2 linked regions of the Rhinolophus ferrumequinum genome follow. Each later gene encodes a partner of the first gene's protein in a complex. Links are inferred from orthologs where the notes say so. Each region holds a gene or a part of one and is shown in the gene's direction. Other genes may lie near its edges. The genes, in order: GINS4 and MCM3.

Region 1 (10,649 bases):
CGTTATACATGGCAAAACACAGTATTACTCCAAGTATGGACACCTCAACAGATGTATAATTTATAGATGCTCCGTGTAGAAATTAAAATGGGAACAATTACAATGCAATTCCATTTCTACCTCTAATTAGAAAGCTTGGAATTTAAGAAATTTAAAAATAAATCTCATTGTATCTGTCAGCTCAAGGAAACCACCACCTAGGTATAGATGAATCTTGATTGTATTCTAAGAGTTGTCCCTACACAGAAAAATTATCGTAATAAACTTTAGTCTGAAGTGGAATGACCCATTTCATTAGTTATATGACATTCTCAAAATGGTGCCCAAAACATGTCTATGATCCACTAACACAAAGAAAGGTAAGGATTAAAATGAAAAACAATGAGTGGAATTTTGATACACTGTTGAGCAAGGCTATCCTTTATCCTTTTCCTCTGAGTATAGTCAAACCGTTCCCTACGGCTATATATTTAAAAACAAAAAAGAGCTTGCCCTAACCTGTAAGGATTTAGAAATACCGAGTTTGGCCTGGTTTTCATTTAAACCTAAAGACAGTTCCCTAGAGTAAATTACATGGACCCTAATAAACATGAAGACCTGCCCAGCACTTAGACACATGAGCTTTTCATCAGATGCTCATGAAATAAAGGCACATGAATTTCTTGACGGAAAGGTCACATTTCTCTTTACTTGACTCTTACCCAGAAAATCATTAAGAAAATCATTTTACTTAACCTGTTAAATGCTGTATTGCCATAGTTTTTCAGAAGATTATTTTTTTTAAAAAAAGGAGAATTCATGCTCATTGCTTATTCTGCGGTGAGCAAATGACAGTACAGTTTTTGTATCTCCTCAGTGTTTCACATCCACCTTTCTTGGATATTTATTTATTCCAGAAAACTATGTCACATGTCACCTCCTCATGGAGGCTGCTATAGGCTGAATGTTTGTGTCCCCCAATTCATGTAGTATCGAAATTCTAACCCCCTAGTTGATGGTATTAGGAGGCGGGGCCTTTGGGAAGTGACTAAGTCATGAAGGCGGAACCCCCATGAATGAGATTAGTGCCCTTATAAACTTGACCCAGGAAACTCTCTTGCCCCTTCCACAGTGTGAGGTTACAGTGAAAAGACAGCCACCCAGGAAGTGGGCCTCACCAGACCCTGACTCCGTCAGCGCCATGATCTTGCACATCCAGCTTCCAAAACTGGGAGAAATAAATTTCTGTTGTTTATAAATCACCTAATCGCTAGCATTTTGTTATAGCAGCCCGAATGGATGAAGACAGGTGCCTATCCCAACCATTTAAATGTCCCGAACCCCAACACTCTCTGTTACCCAATTTTATTTTATCACCACCTGACAAAGAATTGTTACGTGTTTATTATCTATCTCCCTCCACAGGGTGTGTATTTCCCATCAACTGCTTTGTTTTTAGCACCTACACAGGACCTGGTAGTAGACACTCAAATATCACTAGATGCTCAAGAAATATTTGTTGAATGAAGAAATAAATGTGTGCATGAATGACAGGCACTGCGATCAATTTGGAGGATACCTTCGGGGAATTCATAATCTAATGGGAGAAACAGACACGTTAAAACTGCAATATAGCGTGATAAACGTTATATCAGAATAGTATAAGGTATACTGGTGACCTAAATAAGGGGTAGTATGTTAAGGATGGTTTCACAGAGGAAGAGTTACCTTGGCTGAGTCTTGAAGGATGAATAGGAGTTCATCAGGTGGTTCAATGGAAAGAGAGAAGCCTAGGAAGAGGGAACAGCATGTGCAAAGAAAGGAGACAAAACACCTCGTGTCCTAAAGTAGTTTGACACGACTGGAGCAGATAGTGTAAGGGAGGAAGCCCGAAACTACAAGAAAATCAGCAGCACTGTTTTCAGAGAGTGACTGAAATCACCCCAGCACCTGATGTCCTCCCTACTTCTCTTAAGGGAATTTACTCCATCCTCCAACAGCCTTCTTCAGTGCAGCTGTCTAAGCCTGAGGACAATGAGGTACTAGCTTACAGGTGCTCTGTTTACTCTCTGCCAAGGAAAATCTCAAGAGTGTAAAATAATAACACTGGAATGAGAGAATATCATCTTACTCTTTGCTCGAGGAGGCAGCCGCCTTTGGCAGGTATCGGTGCCTCTGCTTCCCTATTGACAAAGTTGAGGCAAAGAGGGGAGACGGCATCTACAAGTCTTTGTCCAGGCTCGGGAAGCTTTGGTTAGAGCAGAGTTTGAAGTCAGGGGTCTGGGTCAGCTTTCTTTTCAGAAGATATGAGGACCCCTCCATAGCAAACTGACTCTTTTTTGTTATTCTCAAGGCTGATACTGCAGTCATGAGAAGAAAGCATCCTCCTATTAACCACGAGAAGACAAAATACAGAGGTGGAGGTCAGGTTTATGTGTCTGTGCCAGAAACTAGGAACATATTAAGACCAAACTTAGGGAAGGAGAGTCACACTATGTTCCTATAAAGGAGCAGGTAGAGAAAATAGAGAACATGGTACCAAAGATTTGGACAGACGTTTTCTAGTTAAACAATATTACAAAGCTACATAATTCACCTTTACCTGTAAACTCTCTTGAAACGATGATCTCAAACCTTAGATTTGTAAAGTTTGTATCTTTATGGGGGACATTTATGGGTTAATTAAACGTGCTTGAAATAAAGATGGGCTTTGAGTAAGGGATGAGCAGCTAAAGTCTGAAAGGAAAAAAGGAATGAGGACTATCAGGAGTTGCCCAGATATTGCATTTGTCAGAGAGACCCAAACCTGGCCCTGACCTCTTGAGTTTCGCAGCATCTCAGGCACACGAGCAGTATAGCGTTTTACCACTGGCCAGAAAAATACTTGCAATTTCACCAGACAATAGCTTTTCTTGTGAGGCCAAAGAAAATATTCATAGAGTACTTTTCTGCCTTCCTTAAAAAATCCAAGTTGCCCTCTTAGTTTCCTATCTTTAGTCCAAATTTTCATTCCTTCAGAACAACTTGGGGTTAAACTTTGCTTAAGTACTACACTCCCCAAAGCTTAATTCTTTGGTTCTTAGGATAGTGAAACCAAAAATGTGATGAAAGTCAAAGAAAGGAAACAGTGAGAAACAGCTGTTGACCAAATGAGCAAGGGCAGTGATGATATGAAAACAATAATGATGATATTATCTTGTATTTCAAAAGTATCTTTCTGTAAAAAGACTCACAATATCATATGGATATGTATACTTTATCTTTATCCTTGGTGATTGAAAAAAAATACGTTCATTCTTATTATTGTATATTTCCATAGCTATCCACAAATATTTTGGCTGTTTCTATTTGCTGCATCTTTAACGGAAATAAATTTCTTCATTGAGAATTATCTGGAAATTACATTGACTTTTCACCTTCTTCAATTGCATAGGGTCCTATTTTATGTATCCTCTTCAACTTTGGGCAGAAGCCTTTTCTTTTTGCTATGTTTGTAGCTTCATGTTTTGCTTGTTTGAATTCATGTTAGCATGTTCATTTTGCTCGTTTAATCATCATAACTTGCCTACAAATTCTGTCCTACAGTTTTATTTATCACCATCAAACTTCATCTTCCTATCATAACCTATGTAATTCTCTTTTCTATGTGATTATTTTAATGAATGGCCATTTATATCGCCATGTAATTATTTTCTAAAACTTCTTAACAGTGAGTGCACAACAACCAGGTCTTCTGGATTTTTCTCTTCATTCTACATAATGTAACTTATGACCTGTCTTTTCTCCCACCTTCCTGAACTTTACAGTGCCACTTGACCAACAGTTTCACAAAAAGTTTGAGCTGCCTCCCCCAGGTAGCTCTATATATTGTTTTTGGACATTGCCTTAAATTCTCCTTCCTTACCTAGCAGAAATCCTTCTCTGCAAACTCATTTTACTCTCAAGTGGTTTTGTCTGATGAATGTTAGTTGGAATCAATGATCTTAGAAGTGAAAGAAGACCACCATCCCCAATTTTTGACCTGCAGGAAGGTACATATTGTTCTCACTTAATAGGCAGTGCAACTGAAGCCCAGACAAGTGACTTGTGTCAGGCAGCACCTCTATTAAATAAGGAAGCAGAAGCTAGACTCCACCTCCCCAAGAAAGTTGCAGTGGGAGATTGGAGAAGACAGCACCAAAGAAAGGAAGTTTGAGTAAGTAAACTAAGTAACTGGTACTTGTGTGGAGTAGTTATTGGTGCTTAGATTCAAATCTACAACACTTAAAGAATCTTAATAAAGACCATTGAAAAGCTAGATAGTAATGAGAATTACAGAACGGGACTGTGCTCAAATACTAATGTTCCAATCATCTAATGCTGCATAACAAAGCATCCCAAAACTTAGGGGCTTAAAACAACAATATTTTACCGACCTGCAATCTGGGTAGAGTTCTGCAGGGACAGCTCCCTCCATGTTAGCTGGGATTGCTGAAAGTCTGAGAGCTAGAATCATCTGAAGGTGCATTCAACTCAGACATCTGAAAGACAGAACAGTTGGGGCTGCTGGGGCTCCTTGAACATCACTTTCTATCTCTGTGTGACCTTTCCACATGGACCCTTCAGCATGGCAGCTACAGGCTAGCCAGACTTCTTACATATCAGCTCATTGCTTCCAAAGGGTGTAGCTCAAGAAAGAGAGCCAGGCTGAAGCTGCACCACCTTTCATGACTTAGCTCCAAAAGTCACACAGCATCACTTCTGCCACCTTCTCTTGGTAGAGGCAGTTACCAAGATCTTCCCAGATTAAAGAGGCAAAAACATAGACCCCACCTCTCGATGTAGGAGTGTCAACGCCATATTGTAAGAAGAGTACTGGGGTGAGATCTTTATAAGAGTAGCTATCTTTGGAAAATACAATCTGCCACAACTAAAAACCGTTGGATTACCAAATCACTGAAATGCAGAGCTGAAAGAAATAGACCTTAAAAGACCATCTATTTGTCATTAACAAAACTCATTTTGCAAGGCACAACTCAAATGTTTCTTCCTTTTGGAGTCCATCTTTGATGTCCTCCAGCTTCCATAGCCCTTTGCAAATATGCCCACTCTCTCACTCAGTTATATTCTATTGTAATTATTTTTATACCATGATTGCAATCAGGCAGGTACTATCAACCTATCATTTAGCCAAACTTTTTTTTCTAATCAAACAATATGGCATAGGAAACACCGCAAAGAAAAGAGTCTTCAGACTAATAGGGAAAACACATTTCGAGGAGAGTCAGAGGTGACACTTTCTCCAGAAAACAGACAGCAGAGAGAAAAGCATCAGCAATTAAGAGAAGAAAAACTGACATCACACAAAGAAAAAGATAAAGATAGTATATAGTTTTGCCCTACATTAAAGTAGAGACGGCATAAAGAGTAAATGTCAAAATAACCTAGACTCAAGTAGCTGAGATGGAAGCATTGCCTAAAGCAGTGGTTCTCCAACCTCATCTGTTTCAGACTCACCTGGAGAGTCTGTTTAACCACCTCCCATAGTTTCTGATTCAGCAGGTCTGGGTGGGGCCTGAAAATCCGCATTGCTCACGAGTTCCAAGACAACCTTGATGCTGGTGATCTGGTACTACACTTTAAGAACCACTAGCCTAAAAGTTTTTAGACGTGGAAGTAGTAGCATAACTGAAGCGCCGGCAAAGATGAAGGAACCAGAAGGGCCCAAGATTGGTGGGTGAAGATGACCCAGCACACTAAGTGACCTGATTTTAACAGAGGCCATTTCTCTGTTGTCCCCCCTACGGGACAGGGCATACTCGGGTGATGATGCTCCCCGATGGCCGGAAGACAGACACGGCCTCGTCCCCTCAGCCGCGGTAGCGTGGCGCCCCCTCCCGACCGTCCCTCGGGGATGTTAGCCGGGACCGCACACAAGCGCGGCTAGCCGAGGTGGGCGGAGCTAACTCGGACCAGCCTCCCGCCGCGTCTTAAGGAGGGAAAACACCCGGCAGTGCCTCGAGTCCCCGCCCCCTGGGGGGGGCCACCAGGACACCGGGTCGTGATTGGTCAGTGCCGCTCGTGCGCGGTGACGTTTAGCTAGGTGGAACGTTTCTAAGAGGAGCGCGGGAGCTGAGAAGTGAAGGGTTGATTACGTCCGGGAGAGAAAATTGCCCCCAGGTTCTCCTTGGGAGAGTGGTGCTGCTCCCCCCACGAGCTTCCCGTCCTAATCTCCTGCTACTTTGGGGTGCCTCTCTGCCTCCTAGGTGACCAGGTGAGCATCCGAGTGTGACCTTTGATAGTGTGTATGTGTGTGCGCGTGCGCTGTGTGTGTGTGTGTGTGTGTGTTAGAGGAGGTGGTTACCCAGACTCGTGGCACCGAGAGAGGAGAGGAGGGAGAGGAATATGCTCTGTTTCCCTGAGGCTCCGGGGACGACTTCTCGTCCCTGCCACCCATCTTCTTAGGGCTTTGGGATCGCTGTCTAGTCTGATGTTGCTGGGCCTTGCAACACTGATTGGTTCTCCCAACAATTTTAAGTGCCTGCTATGAGTTAAGCACTGTGCTAAGCGCAGGGACTACACAGGCAATTACCGTGTGTCCCGGAAAATAAGACCGAGCCGGACCATCAGTTCTAATGTGTCTTTTGGAGCAAAAATTAATATAAGACCCGGTCTTATATTACATATTATATTATACCGGGTCTTATATTAAAATAAGACCAGGTCTTATATTAATATTTGCTGCAAAAGACGCAGTAGAGCTGATGATCCGGCTAGGTCTTATTTTCAGGAAACATGGTATGTCCCCAGTTCTTACAAGTGCCAGGCACAGAGTAATTCATCTTTAAACTGAAGTGAACAAGGACCCTGAGGAGAGGATCTCTACCAGAAAGACGAATAATTATTGCATGGTGTGACAGGTGCTCAGTTAGAGTTGTGCCTGGAAGCACAAGAGGTGAGAACTGATAACCTAACCTAAGGTTTGAAGGAGGCAAAGAATTGAAAATATCAAAGCCTATGAATTCTCTAGCCACTGCCAATGAGCCTTTACAACCTGTTGTAGTATGTAGTTGCCTATTCTTGCAAATAAATGGAAAACATATAGAAAGGTATGGGTTCTTTTATTCTTAATAGGTTCCCAGTTTCAGGTAAGATGACAGAGGAACTGGATCTCACGGCACAGGACTCTGATGCGGGCAGTGAAGAAGTGGTCCTAACTCCTGCAGAGCTCATTGAAAAGCTGGAGCAGGTAAGAGTCCCAAATAGAATCCCCTTGCGCCAATCTTAGCCTTTTTATTTAGTCCAACTGTGCAAATGTCGGGAATCAGGAAACGATGAAATGGGATTCAAGGCTTATTTCAAGAGAAGAGTGACTGGGTCTTACCATCTGCCCAGAAATAAGAAGTGGGGGGAACAGTCTTTGTTAGAGAACTCATGTCAAACACAAACTTCTCCAGTGGGGCCAGTAAGGGACAGCTTTGGATACATTGAGTAGAACAGTTCACAGAGCAAAGATTTGCTACTTGGTAGTTTCATGGACTACAGAAGTGTTGTAGTGGAGACTTGTAAATTTTATGCCTTAGTCCCTTGAAACACCTGCTGTTTACTTATAGAATGCTTGGGTTAGCAAGAAAGAGCTGAAACACCTTTTTTAGGATTAAACTGGTCTTACTCTTCCTTTTCCTCCCAGGTACTTTCTTTTGTCAACTATTCTCTATATTTCCATTGCTTATCTAAAATCATTTCTAGGCTGTCTCTCTTTTTAGTCATAAGAGCTATGGTTTGAGTATTTCCTGTGTGCTAATAACTGTTATTTACAATTAACTGTGAAGCTCTGGTAGTTAGTTCAGACTCTGTATTTAAACCCCTCCATGCCACTAGTCTGTTATGCAACCTTAGGCAAGTTATATAGCTTGTCTCAAGCACTTTCTTGACTATAAAATGAAGTTAATAATAGTGGCTACCTCATAGAGTTGTGAGGATTAAGTGAGATTTTATATATATATATATATATATATATATATATATATATAAAGTGCTTAGCATATTGTTTGACATGACAAGCACTCACTGAATGTTAGCTGTGAGTAGTAATAATCCTTACAACAACCCAGTGAGGCAAGTATTATTGTTATCTACATTTTACAGATGAGGAAACTGAAGCTTAGAGATATAAAGTAACATGCCCAAGGTCACACAATGGCAGCAGAGCTGGGATATGAACCAGGTTTCTTTGACTCCAAAACTCATGCTCTTAATCCACTACACATTACTGCCTTATTCTTGTTGTCTCCCCTTTTTATCCCCCACTTTTTCTCGCCTCCCCCCCCCACTCCAGTTCAAGCCGTTGTTTCTCAGTCTAGTTGTGTAGGACACAGCTCCCTGCCCACGCTGATATTAATGAGCCTTGCACTCCCCCGGCTGAGGCTGTCGGTTGCTGGTTGTCTGTCGGCTGCTCATGGCCCACAGCAGCCCACGGCTGCTCACGCTGGCCACTGGCCACTCCTGGCAGCACAGGGCAGCACGCAGCAGCCCTGCCCACGGCAGCCCAGCTCCAGGGAGAGCCGTTGTTCACAATCTTAGCTGTAGAGGGCGCAGCTCACTGGCCCATGTGGGAATCGAACTGGCAACTTCGGCATTAGGAGCACGGCGCTCCAACCACCTGAGCCACTGGGCCGGCCCCTTGTTGTCTCCCTTTAACTGCCCCTTTCCAGAATTCTCTCATGTTTGTTACTTTAGTGTTCTTCATTCTTTTCTAACGTACACGCCATCAAGACTAACAAAATCAAAGGAACAACCCATATAGAATTTTACATCTAATTTCAGGAGTTTCACAGACACCCTGAAATCTGCCTACCTAGTCTGGGGACCCTAGTTTAAGAGCCCCTGCTTTATTAGGAGAGGGTTTATTAAATGGAAATCAAAAAGCATAAAGCATGAAGGACAAAACTGATATATTCAACTACATTAAAATTAAGAACTCTGTTTTTACATCTTCCTGAGAATAAAAAGACGTGCCACAGAACTGGGGGAAAATATTTGCAAAATATATAACTGGCAAAAGATTAGTATACATAATACACAAACTTTATAAATTGACCAGGAGAAAAATGAAAGTCTTAATAGGAATCTCCCAAAAGTGGAAACCAGGATGGCCCATCACCATATCAAAATAACATCCAACCTTTTTGCTAATCAGGAAACTGAAAATTTAAATCGCAATGAGATAGCACTGCATACCCACCCATCAGATTGGCAGAAATGGAAAAGATGAACAATATAAAGTATTGGCAAGGACGTAGAGATGGAGAGCATGTATACTGTGGGGGGCATGTAATTGGTTCAGTCACTTTAGAAAATAATTTGTTATTGTCTAGTCAAGTTGAAGGCATACACATCTTGTGGCCCAGTGATTCTACTGCCCAGTACACACCCACGTTCAAGTTCACGTGTACTCCAGGAGACATGCACAGAATGTTCAGAGCATTGTTCACAACAGTTAAAAACTGCAACTACTCAGATATCCTTCAACAATAGAACGGATAAAAAATGGTGGCATATACACACAAGGGGTGGGGAACAGCAATAAAATGAGTAAAAGATAGTTCCTGCAACAGCATGGATAACTCAGGAATATAACGCAGAACAAAAAAATATATGTTTCTAAAGAAACCATTTATGTAAAGCTCAAACACTTGCAAAACTATTGTGAAGGCAGAGCTTGCCAGCTTGGGTGATACGGCACAAACTAGTGCACTGCAAACGCCTCGGTGATGTTTACCCTCCACTCTCTGGGGCAGCCAGAGCCCCCAGACTCATTGCCTTTTGTGGGTGTCGTCAGGGGCTCCTTGGAAGGCAGCCTGAAGACAGTAGGATCTGACAGCACAGCCTCAGCTTGGCAGTGGGTAAGCATGAGTTGCATCTCGTGCCTGATGCTCTCTTGCAGTGTCCTGAATGCAGCCAAGAAGTTGGTCTATCACCTGGACAGCTGCTGCAGCTGGACACAGACTCGGGCTGCATGGGACTGCCTGATGAGCAACCTGACAAGGGCCCCTGATAAACACAGCTCTAGAAGCACATATAGGATATTCTTGATTGCCTATAAAAATTAATTTAGAAGTTATTGCCTACAGTGCGAAGTTCCTCATTTTAATGATTGTATTAGTTTGTTAAGGCTGCATATCAAAGACTGGGTGGCTTAAAGAACAGAAATTTATTTTTTCAACTCTGGAGGTTAGAAGTCTGAAATGAAGGTGCCAACATAGTTTGGTTTCTTCCGAGGCCTCTTTCCTGGGCTTGTAGATGACCGTGTTCTCACGGTGTCTTCACATGGTCTTTCTGTGTGTCTGTGTTCAAATTTCTTCCTCTTATAAGGGCACCAGTCATACTGGCCAAAGGCCCACCTACTCTCATTTTAACTTGACGAATATCACCTCTTTGAAGACCCTTTCTCCAAATACAGTCACATCCTGAAGTGCTAGGAATTAGAACTTCAATATGAATTGCGGGGTGGCGGGGGACACAGTTTACAGGCTATTACAGTTTAGCGTGTAATGTGATAAACACATTGTCATTAAAACTTTTAATTAGCAATGTGATACATCAATGATGTATTACAGAATTGTACACTTGAAACCTATGTAATTTTATTAACCATTGTCACCCCAATAAATTAAAAAAAAAAAAATTTT
Region 2 (10,452 bases), on another chromosome or scaffold:
GTATTTATTATATATTTATTGTGTGTGTGTGTATAATTTTTATCCCTCTCTGTCCCTCATTCCTACTTTCATCCAAATAGCTTTTAATCTGTCCATTTTTCTTCTGAAATGTCTCATTCTCATTCTTTTCTATCTGTCCCTTCTTTGAACACCCTTTCCAGGCCTCATTTCTTTTTATCTGATTTAAATAATCCATTCTACACATCCTCTGGCCAGTGGTCCTAAAGCACAACTTTGAAACTGTCTTTCCTTTACTCAAAAGTCATCAACGGCTTCCTTTGGCCTCCTAAATCAAGCACAGTTGTCTTACTCCATTGGTCAGTGTCCTCCACAATCAGGCCTGATGCACCCGATTGCTTCCAGTCCTCCCCTGTACTCATCTCTCCCACTCACCCTTCATTCCAAACACCTTAATCTCAAGACAAGGACTTGGTCATTTCTGCCTTTACATTTTCCTTAAAATGTCCTTGCTGCTGCATTTCCCTAGAGGAAATGCTGCACACCTTTTGATCCTCAAATTAAATACGACCCCATTTCTTTAGCTTTCCCTCATCATTCCTGTGTAAATTTGCCCTTTTTAATGCATATGGCACTTTATACCATGCCTAGAAGACACAATGCTTTTTCTCATGCTTATTTGTGCTTGTACTTCTTTTCCATACTAGATCATAAAGTTTTGATCTTTGTATCTCCATAAATACCTTGCATATAATAGAATAAAATACAGACAGCATTATTTATAGTGTGAGTAAATATTAGCATTGCAAAGCCCTGTTGGCTGAATAAAGACAGGTATTTTAAATAGTTTGAAACTTCAAAATGATGATGTACAGCTTCCTTGATGGATAAGTAGAATAAAAACTGATTATAACTAATATATAATTCACTGTCTCATACATGGCTCACATATAATTGAATGAATGAATGAATAAGCAAATGTTATAGGACACATACAGATGCTGGCCCACCTGGAAATGAGCAGATGGTATTCATCATGTCCAGAGAAAGGTCTTTCTATATCTTACACAGTAAAATAAGTAACAAAAACTACGAGGTGTGATCAAATAGTACAGTGATTGTTTAAATAAAAAATATTTATTACAGTAAAAGACACATTGCCATTCATCCTCCTCAAAATACTCCCCCTTGCGTGAACGCACTTATCCCATCATTCTTGCCACTTTCTGAAGCAGTTCTGGGAGTCCACTTTCATGAGTGTCTTTAGTTGTGCTGTCGTGGCTGCCTCGATGTCCTGAATTGATTCAAAATGTTTACCTTTCATGGTCAATTTGACTTTGGGGAAGAGCCAGAAGTCACACGGTGCCAGATTCTATGAATAAGGTGGATGAGGACACACCATAATGTTTTTATTTGACAGAAATTGCCATACCAGAAGCGATGTGTGACATGGAGTATTGTCATGATAGAGGATGAAGTAAAGACACTCATGAAGGAGGACTTCCAGAACTGCTTCAGAAAGTGGCAAGAATGATGGGATAAGTGTGTTTGAAGCAAGGGGGAGTATTTTGAGGGGGATTAATGGCAATGTGTCTTTCACTCTAATAAATTTTTTGATTTAAGCATTCACTGTATTTTGTGATCACACCTTGTAAATCAATTAAAATATTTCAAAATATAAAATATCTGTTCCCTTAATATTTAAGTAAATTCTACTGAGTCTTACTCATTTGTCCTGTTTTTGTTGTTGTTGTTGTTGTTTTTTTTTTATGAAAGGGGTTAGAGGGAATTATAGGTAAGGGGGGTTATTAATAATGAATACTTTTTTTATTGGGGAATATTGGGGAACAATGTGTTTTTCCAGGGCCCATCAGCTCTAAGTTGTTACCCTAAATAAACAAAATCAGAAATGAAAGAAGGGAAGTTATCATGGATGTCACAGAAATACAAAGGATCATCCAAGAATACTATGAAGGACTATACGCCACCAAATTCAATAACCTAAAAGAAATGGACAAGAAACACATAGCCTTCCTAGGCTGAATCATGAAGAACTGGAAAAACTAAATAGACCAATCAACAGTAAGGAAATTAAATCAGTCATCAGAAACCTTCCCAAAAGCAAAAGTCCGGGACCAGATGGCTTCACTAGTGAATTCTACCAAACCTTCAAAGAGGATCTAATACCTGTCCTACTCAACCTCTTCCAAAAAATGGAAGAACAGACAGTACTCCCTAACTCATTTTATGAGGCCAACATTACCCTGATACCAAAACCTGGTAAGGACAACACAAAAAAAGAAAACTACAGACCAATATCTATGATGAATACAGATGCAAAAATCCTAAACAAAATTCTAGCAAATCAAATGCAACAATGCATTAAAAAGATTATACATCACAACCAAGTGGGGTTCATCCCAGGGGCACATGGATGGTTCAACATACGCAAATCAATCGGTGTGATATACCACATAAACAAAATAAAGGGAAAAAATCCTGATTATATTAATAGATACAGAAAGAGCATTTGACAAGATACAACATCCATTTATGATTAAAACACTTAGTAAAATAGGTATAGAAGGAAAATACCACAACATAATAAAGGCCATATATGACAAACCCTCAGCTAATATCATAATTAATGGTAAAATACTGAAGCCTTTTGCTCTATGTTCAGGAACATGACAAGGCTGTCCCCTATGACCTCTGCTTTTCAACATAGTACTGGAAGTCCTAGCCCAGCAATCAGGCAAGAGAAAGAAATAAAGTCATCCACATTGGGAATGAAGAAGCTAAATTGTCACTTTTTGCAGATGACATGATGCTATATATAAAAAAACCTAAAGACTCCACGAAAAAGCTATTAGAAACAATAAATACAGTAAAGTTGCCGGCTACAAAATCAATGTACAAAAGTCCATTGCATTCCTATATACTAACAATGAAATCTCAGAAAAAGAAAGAAAAAAACAATTCCTTTTGCAATTGCAACAAAAATAATAAATACCTAGGAATAAACTTAACCAAGGCTGTAAAAGACCTATATACTGAAAACCATAAGACTTTTTTAAGAGTAATTGAAGAAGACACAAAGAAATGGAAAGACATTTCATATTCATGGATTGGAAGAATCAACATCGTTAAAATAGCCATATTACCCAAAGCAATATACAGATTTAATGTAATCCCCATCAAAATCCCAATAGTATTTTTTAAAGAAATAGAATCAAAAATTGTCAGATTTGTATGGAATCTCAAAAGACCCTGAATAGCCAAAGCACTCCTGAGAAAAAAGAACAATGCTGGAGGTATCACACTCCTTGACTTCAGTTTGTACTACATGGTAACAATAATCAAAACAGTATGGTATTGGCAGAAAAACAGACACACAGACCAATGGAATAGAATTGAGAACCCAAAAACAAACCCACATAAATATTGACAGATAATTTTTGATAAAGAAGCCAAAAACATACAATGGAGAAAAGACAGCCTCATCAATACATGATGCTGGGAGAATTGGAAAGCCATGTGCAAAAGAATGAAACTGGACTGCTGTCTGTCACTGTGAACCAAAATTAACTCAAAATGGACCAAAGACCTAAACATAAGACCTGAAACAATAAACTGCATGGAAGAAAACATAGGTACTAAACTTATGGACCTTGGGTTCAAAGAGCATTTTACGAATTTGACCTCAAAGGGAAGGGAAGTAAAAGCTAAAATAAATGAATGGGACTATAAAAAGCTTCTGCACAGCAAAAGAAACCATTGACAAAATAAAGAGGCAACCAACTGAATGGAAGACTTTTGCAAATAACGCCTCCGATAAGGGACAAATATCCAACATATGTAAGGAACTCATAAAACTCAACAACAAAAAAACAAACAATCCAATTAAAAAATGGGCAGAAGACCTGAAGAGACATTTCTCCAAAGAGGACATACAAATGGCCAATAGACATATGAAAAAATGCTCAACATCACTAATCATCAGAGAAATGCAAATAAAAACCACAATGAGATATCGCCTCACCCAGTTAGAATGGCCATCATCAACAAGACAAATAGTAACAAGTGTTGGAGAGGCTGTGGAGAAAAAAGGAACCCTCATACAGTGTTGGTGGGAATGCAGACTAGTGCAGCCGCTATGGAAGGCAGTGTGGAGGTTCCTCAAAAAATTAAGAATAGAATTACCATATGACCCAGCAATCTGTCTCCTGGGTAGCTACCCAAAAAATCTGAAAACATTTATCCATAAAGACGTATGTGCTCCAATGTTCATTGTAAGTTTATTTACGGTGGCCAAGACATAGAAACAACCAAAATGTCCTTTGATAGATGAATGGATAAAGAAGTTGTGATATACATACACAATGGAATACCAGTATTCTGCCATAAGAAAAGATGAAATAGTGCCATTTTTGACAACATGGATGGATTTTGAGATTATTGTGCTGAGTGAAACAAGTCAGACAGAAAAAGTTGAGAACCATATGATTTCACTGATATGTGGTAGATAAAACTGAAAACAAAAGAACAAGACAAACAAATGTAGAATCAAAAACTCATAGACACAGACAATAGTTTAGTGGTTACCAGAGGGTGGTGGGGAAGGGATGGTAGAAGAGGGTAAAAGGGATCAAATATATGGTGATGGAAGGAGAACTGACTCTGGGTGGTGAACATACAATGTGATATATATATATGATGTATTACAGAATTGTACACCTGAAATCTATGTAACTTTACTAACAATTATCACCACAAAAACTTTAATTAAAAAAAATAAAAAAATAAAAAAAACAAAAAACACACGCTGGGGCAATGAGATTATTCTTTATTGTGCATTGGATGGTTACATGGGTGTATACATGATAAAAATTCATTGAGCTGTATGTACACTTGTTTTGTGTATTTTACTTTATATAAATTACACCTCAAAATATAAGACTAAAAAAGTAAAGAAACCGCAAAAAACTAAAAACAAACAAAACTTGGAAATGCAATTTATCTTTTAATTGTAATTTCAGATTCGCTGTATCTTACTGATTGGTTCTTAAGAGTTGGCTTGGCACACTTTTTTTTCTCTTTGTGTTTATCTTTCAATAAACTGTTACTCTATTTTCCATCCCACAGATTCTCAAAATTCACTGTATTTCCCTGGATGCCGCTTGAGGGCAGCTGCTTAAGAACCATATCGAGCACACCGTATTTGAACACATTTTAAAAACCATTTGCTTTTATGTTTTCATTTCCTTCTGTTACAAACCCCCATTCTCTAACGTTTAGTCTTTGAATCCAACCTCCTGGCTCAGTGGGTTCACCCTTCAGAGGGTGAGGGAACCGCAGATTGAAAAAAATCCTCAAAACATCCGGAAAAAGGGGGAAGACTACGATTCCCAGAATTGATCGCTTCCAGATCTCGCCGGCTCTTCGGGTGCCCAATCACCAGGCTCTACGAGCCTCCTTTCGACGGCATTGGTCAGCTTCCTCATCAGTGAGGGCGGAGCCGCGAGAGAACAGAGCGCCCCGGATGGTACTTTCCCGCCGCCGCGCGGCGCTTCTTGGTAAATGAGAAGAAGAAGAAGAAGAAGAAGCTTTCGATTGGATACTATCTATTCGCATCAGCCAATGAGAATGTGTGTATCCTCCCAGAGACCCCGCCCCTTCATTGAGGTAACTTTGGTGGCGGGAAAAGTTCCGCTGTTTTCGCGCCGGGGCGGGGCTATCGAAGACCCGCCGCGGGGCTCCGGGGAGGTAGTTTGGCGTCGGCCAGCATGGCAGGGACCGTGGTACTGGACGATGTGGAACTGCGGGAGGCGCAGAGAGATTACTTGGACTTCTTGGATGACGAGGTGAGGGAGGCGCTCGGTCGCTAGGTTCTCGATCGTGGAGCTCCTAGGGACGCGGACAGGCCGAGGGAAGCCATGCGTGACGCCGCCCCACGCCGAGCAGCGACCCGGCCGGGAGAGGTAGAGGCCCGCCAGGCCTGCAGACTGCCGCGGCAGAGGTGGCGGGCGCAAGAACCTTCCATCTCGGTCTTGTGCATTTGCTCGCGGTGGAGTCAGTCCGTAGTTGGTTTCCTGTAGGTGAGCCTTAGCGATCTTATAACTTTCTTCTAAATACAAGTGATGGCGGAGTCGCGCGAAAGGCTACAGGTTTCCTTCAAGTGCAAACAAAGTGGCAAAGCCCACTTTGACCTCTTCGAAATCACTCTCGATTCTCATAATTTGGGGGGTAGGGTGGGGGGAAGTACTGCTATTCGACCGTAGTGATCCGCGGCATTGTAGGGTTCCCAGATACTGGATTAGAGACTGACTTCCTGTTGGGAGGAAAAGACTTCCTAATTTGGGAGCATTCTTTTTCAGTACCAAGAGAGATGCAGACAAAAAATGTTTGTGATGCAGGTAAAGGTCTTAGGATGTTGGTAATGCATCTTGAAGGGTTGCTGATGCTGTATCTGTAAAGAAATATCTAAGGCTCCCAACTCCATTAGGTCTGGATATGAGAACTCTTCCTGTATTATACAGATATCGGGAAATTAAATATTTTCATTCTGTATACAATTTTTAAATGAAAAGTTATCTTAATATGAATATTAAAAGCCCGTTTGATTTACATATTAACCAGGTTAGTATTTGTTGTCCTTTTAGACTTCCTATGAGCTCATTTTAATTCCCCATTAAAGGTTGAGAAATGACTGCAGACAGAAAAGCTATTGATAATGGGAATAATAGCACGGACCTTGAGGGAGACATAATCCCTACACTGTCCTTTTTCAGTGTAGATGGAATCTGAGGCTGCTGAGTGAAACTATGGGAGAAATTGGGGTTCAGCCCTGCCGCAGAGAGTGACTTCATGTGAGAGCTGCCTCTGTTTAACAACATCTTATTTTTGATTTTGTGGCTGTTATATGTGGTGGCTATTTTGCAGGAAGACCGGGGAATTTATCAGAACAAAGTTCGGGAGCTGATCAATGACAACCAGTACCGGTTGATTGTTAACGTGAATGACCTGCGCAGGAAAAATGAGAAGAGGGCTAATCGGTGAGTGGCAAGGGATTCCAAGGGGATATCCTGGCTGGCTCTGAGTGAGAATTGCTCCTCTCTCTCTTTTCTGCATTGGAACCGGCCCTGGATGAAATGTTTCTGATCTTGAAGCCCTCATTGCCTCACCAGCTACTATGTTTTCATCTTCCCAAAGTGGGTGGTTGGCCTTTTTCTCTCAAGAGCTTCTCCTTCCTTCCATGTTTAGCTGAGTATCATTTCTACGTCTTTGATGAGTTGAGGTTGGCCTTCAGTTCTGGTTATTTTCCTGAGTCTTGTAGGGTGGCAGAAGAAAGTAGTTAGATTTTCACTCCTTGTTCTTGATCATCTAAGAATGTCCACTTCTGATTCGAGGGTCAGTTTTTTTGAGTGCTGCCCCCAGCCTAATCATTCTTTCTCTTGCCCCTATGCAGCCTCCTGAGCAATGCATTTGAGGAGCTGGTGGCCTTCCAACGGGCTTTAAAGGATTTTGTGGCCTCCATTGATGCTACCTATGCGAAGCAGTATGAGGAGTTCTACATAGGATTGGAGGGCAGCTTTGGCTCCAAGCATGTCTCTCCCCGGACTCTTACTTCCTGCTTCCTTAGCTGTGTAGTCTGTGTGGAGGGCATTGTCACGAAGTGTAAGTGGGTTAACGTAAGGGTCTAAGGCAGCGGAGGTGGGATACTCTTAGAGGGGCTGGGAAAAGAAAGCAAGAGAGGTGGAGTAGAGCTGGGTCGCGAGTGTGTGGCTTCCGAAAGATGGAGCATTGAAATTATGGGGGGAAACTTGGAGGAGCTCCGAGTGTGCGCAATAATGAGGGGGACCTTGGGTGCCCACCTGTGCTAGCAGAACAATGAATTCTGCTGAGAGGGGACGAGTCTTGGGTATTGGCAGTCTCTTCATTCTAACCTTGAACGTCTATTTCTTAGTTGGTATCAGTTGTATGTAAAGTTTTACACGGGTATGGTGATATAAATATAAAACTAAATAAATGACAAGTATTATTGAAATAGCTGAAACTAGTTGGAGGAATAGTATTTGGAGTCATCATGGGCTTGCCTGCGTTAGATCCCACTTCTATCACTGTCTAGTTGGATGACTGTATATGCATGTTTTCTATTCCTAGGCTCTCTAGTTCGTCCCAAAGTTGTACGCAGTGTCCACTACTGTCCTGCTACCAAGAAGACCATAGAGCGACGTTATTCTGATCTCACCACCCTGGTGGCCTTTCCCTCCAGCTCTGTCTATCCCACCAAGGTGAGGGGAGTGAATTGATTGGGCCTCTTGGAGGTTGTAGTCAAAGATACCTGTTTTAATGCGTAGTTGGATCAAATAATGTATTTTCTGGGTTAAAACAGGTAATAACATGATAAATGGGGGCAGCCGCTTAACTCAGTTGGTTAGAGCGGGGTGCTTCTCACAACAAGGTTGCCTGTTTGATCCCCACATGGGCCACTGTGAGCTGCTACCCTCCACAACTAGATTGAAACAACTACTTGACTTGGAGCTGATGGGTCCTGGAATAATATACTTAAAATAAATAAGAGTTAACAAAAAAAAAAGTTTGCTATGTTTTAAAAAACAAAAAGATTAAAAAAATGCAAGTAATTGGATAATATTTGAAGTCTTTTAAAAGTAGGTAGGGTGACAAGTAAGCATTAACCTAAAGGAAAGTTTGATTGTTAGCCAGAGCTTAATATGGAAAGCTCACGTTTTTAAAAGAAATAATAAATATTCACTTTAGAAAATTTAGAAAATTATGGAAGGGTTGAAGGAAAACAGTCATCTAATCTACGTCAATCTTTTAGCAAAGTTATAATCATATAATTTTATAATTACTTAAAGTAATATGGAAAAACACGTATAATGTTACTATGTGCTTTTTGCAGGTATTTTACTGAAGGTTTAAGAGAAGGTTGACATAGGAAATGGCTTTATTCTTAGTGTGCAGTTTGAATTGAGGATGATGCGAGACTTTAATGAGATAAAAGAAGATGATTAATATTGATTACTTGATGTCTGAACTCATTCTATGAAAGACTACCTGTCCCCATATCAAAAATTTTAATTGAGAGCTACTATATCCAAAGAATTGTTAGGCATCCTGGAGGACACAGTTATAAATAAGACCCAGTTCTTCAATTTTACCAACTTGTGGAGGAATCGTAAACAACAAAAAACAAAGAGGAATATCTGAGAATTATAACAGAAACTTACTTTGGAATTATTTCGTGTACCTCCAGATGGCATGTTGAGGTTCAGAGGTTAAGTGACTTGCTTATGGTCTCCGTTAGTGATGACCCTAAGGAGAAGGACCTGTGTCTTTACTGTGAGGCCAGTTGCATTTCCTGTCATCTTAGACTCCTAGGCTCTCTGGAATCCTACGTGCTAGAATTTCTTCTCCAGGAAGTACTCAAGAAGTACTGTTCTACCGATTACTGTGGCCAGGCTTCTTTCCTTGAGCCGTGAAATTTACTGGACCTTGTCTCCTGGAAGTGTCTAGTGTGGTGCTTCCAAGCCTGGGTTTTGGAGTTTCACCTGCCTCAAGTCCCGGCTCTGCCACTTACGGTGTGATGTCTGAGGGAACTTGTTTAACCAATCCCAGCCTCATTTTTTTAATCTGTTGTAAAACGTGGAGAATACCTGCTTTGCTGAGTTGTGAGGGTTACATGAAACAGTTCCATGGTAATAGCACAGTGTTTTGTACATAGTAAGCACTCAATAAGTAATAGTAATTGTGGTGTTTTTTTTTGAAAATTAAATACCAAGGAAGTGAAACTTTAAAAGTGTTTTTATTGAAGTTTTAACGTACATACAGGAAGGCTCACAGAAGTGTACAGCTTGATGAAATTTCAGAAGCTGAGTATACCTGTGAGATCAGCATCCAAAACAGGAAATTGAGCCTTACTAACAATCAGAAGTCCCTCTTGAGAGCCCACGCTGCCCTGTTTGAGTACCCTGACGTATAACAGCATAGGTTACTTTTGCCTATTTTTATATTTTATCTAATAAGTACTCTTGCGTTGGCTTCTGTTTGTGAAATTCATCCATGTTGTTGTGTATAGGTGTGTTCCATACATTTTCACTGCTGTCTAGAATTCAATTGTGTGACTATACTACATTTATTTAACCACTGTGTTGCTGGCATTTGGATATTGTGTAGATTTTGGCTGTTAGGTATAGCGCTGCTGTGAACTTAGTAGTACATGACTTTGGGTGAATGTTTCTGTTGGGTATTACTAGGAGTGAAAATACTGCGTCGCAATAAGCATATATTCAGCTTTAGTAAGGGAGGTAAGAATCTTAATTTAGATGTTAATACAGCCATGGTCCCTTCAGACTAAAGATTGCCTCTTCCATTTAGGTGGTTGGTTATTAGAACAGATAAGGTTGGAAGAGCTAGAGAAAATATTTGGCTTTTGTTCCTGGACTCTGAAATCTCATGAAGTCATCTCCA

The links.
Region 2: GINS4 (region 1) and MCM3 share a complex: the UniProt entries of both Homo sapiens proteins name them as parts of the CMG helicase complex. The link is inferred for Rhinolophus ferrumequinum from reciprocal best matches to the Homo sapiens genes GINS4 and MCM3.

The regions. Positions count from the first base shown.
Region 1 is NC_046287.1:58,828,600-58,839,248, reverse strand, and holds the start of GINS4 (DNA replication complex GINS protein SLD5), read left to right. Parts: upstream 1-6,082; 5' UTR 6,083-6,232; intron 6,233-7,092; 5' UTR 7,093-7,111; coding exon 7,112-7,207; intron 7,208-10,649. UniProt on the Homo sapiens protein: Required for correct functioning of the GINS complex, a complex that plays an essential role in the initiation of DNA replication, and progression of DNA replication forks.
Region 2 is NC_046286.1:20,243,507-20,253,958, reverse strand, and holds the start of MCM3 (DNA replication licensing factor MCM3), read left to right. Parts: upstream 1-5,575; 5' UTR 5,576-5,744; coding exon 5,745-5,822; intron 5,823-6,900; coding exon 6,901-7,013; intron 7,014-7,426; coding exon 7,427-7,635; intron 7,636-8,121; coding exon 8,122-8,252; intron 8,253-10,452. UniProt on the Homo sapiens protein: Acts as a component of the MCM2-7 complex (MCM complex) which is the replicative helicase essential for 'once per cell cycle' DNA replication initiation and elongation in eukaryotic cells.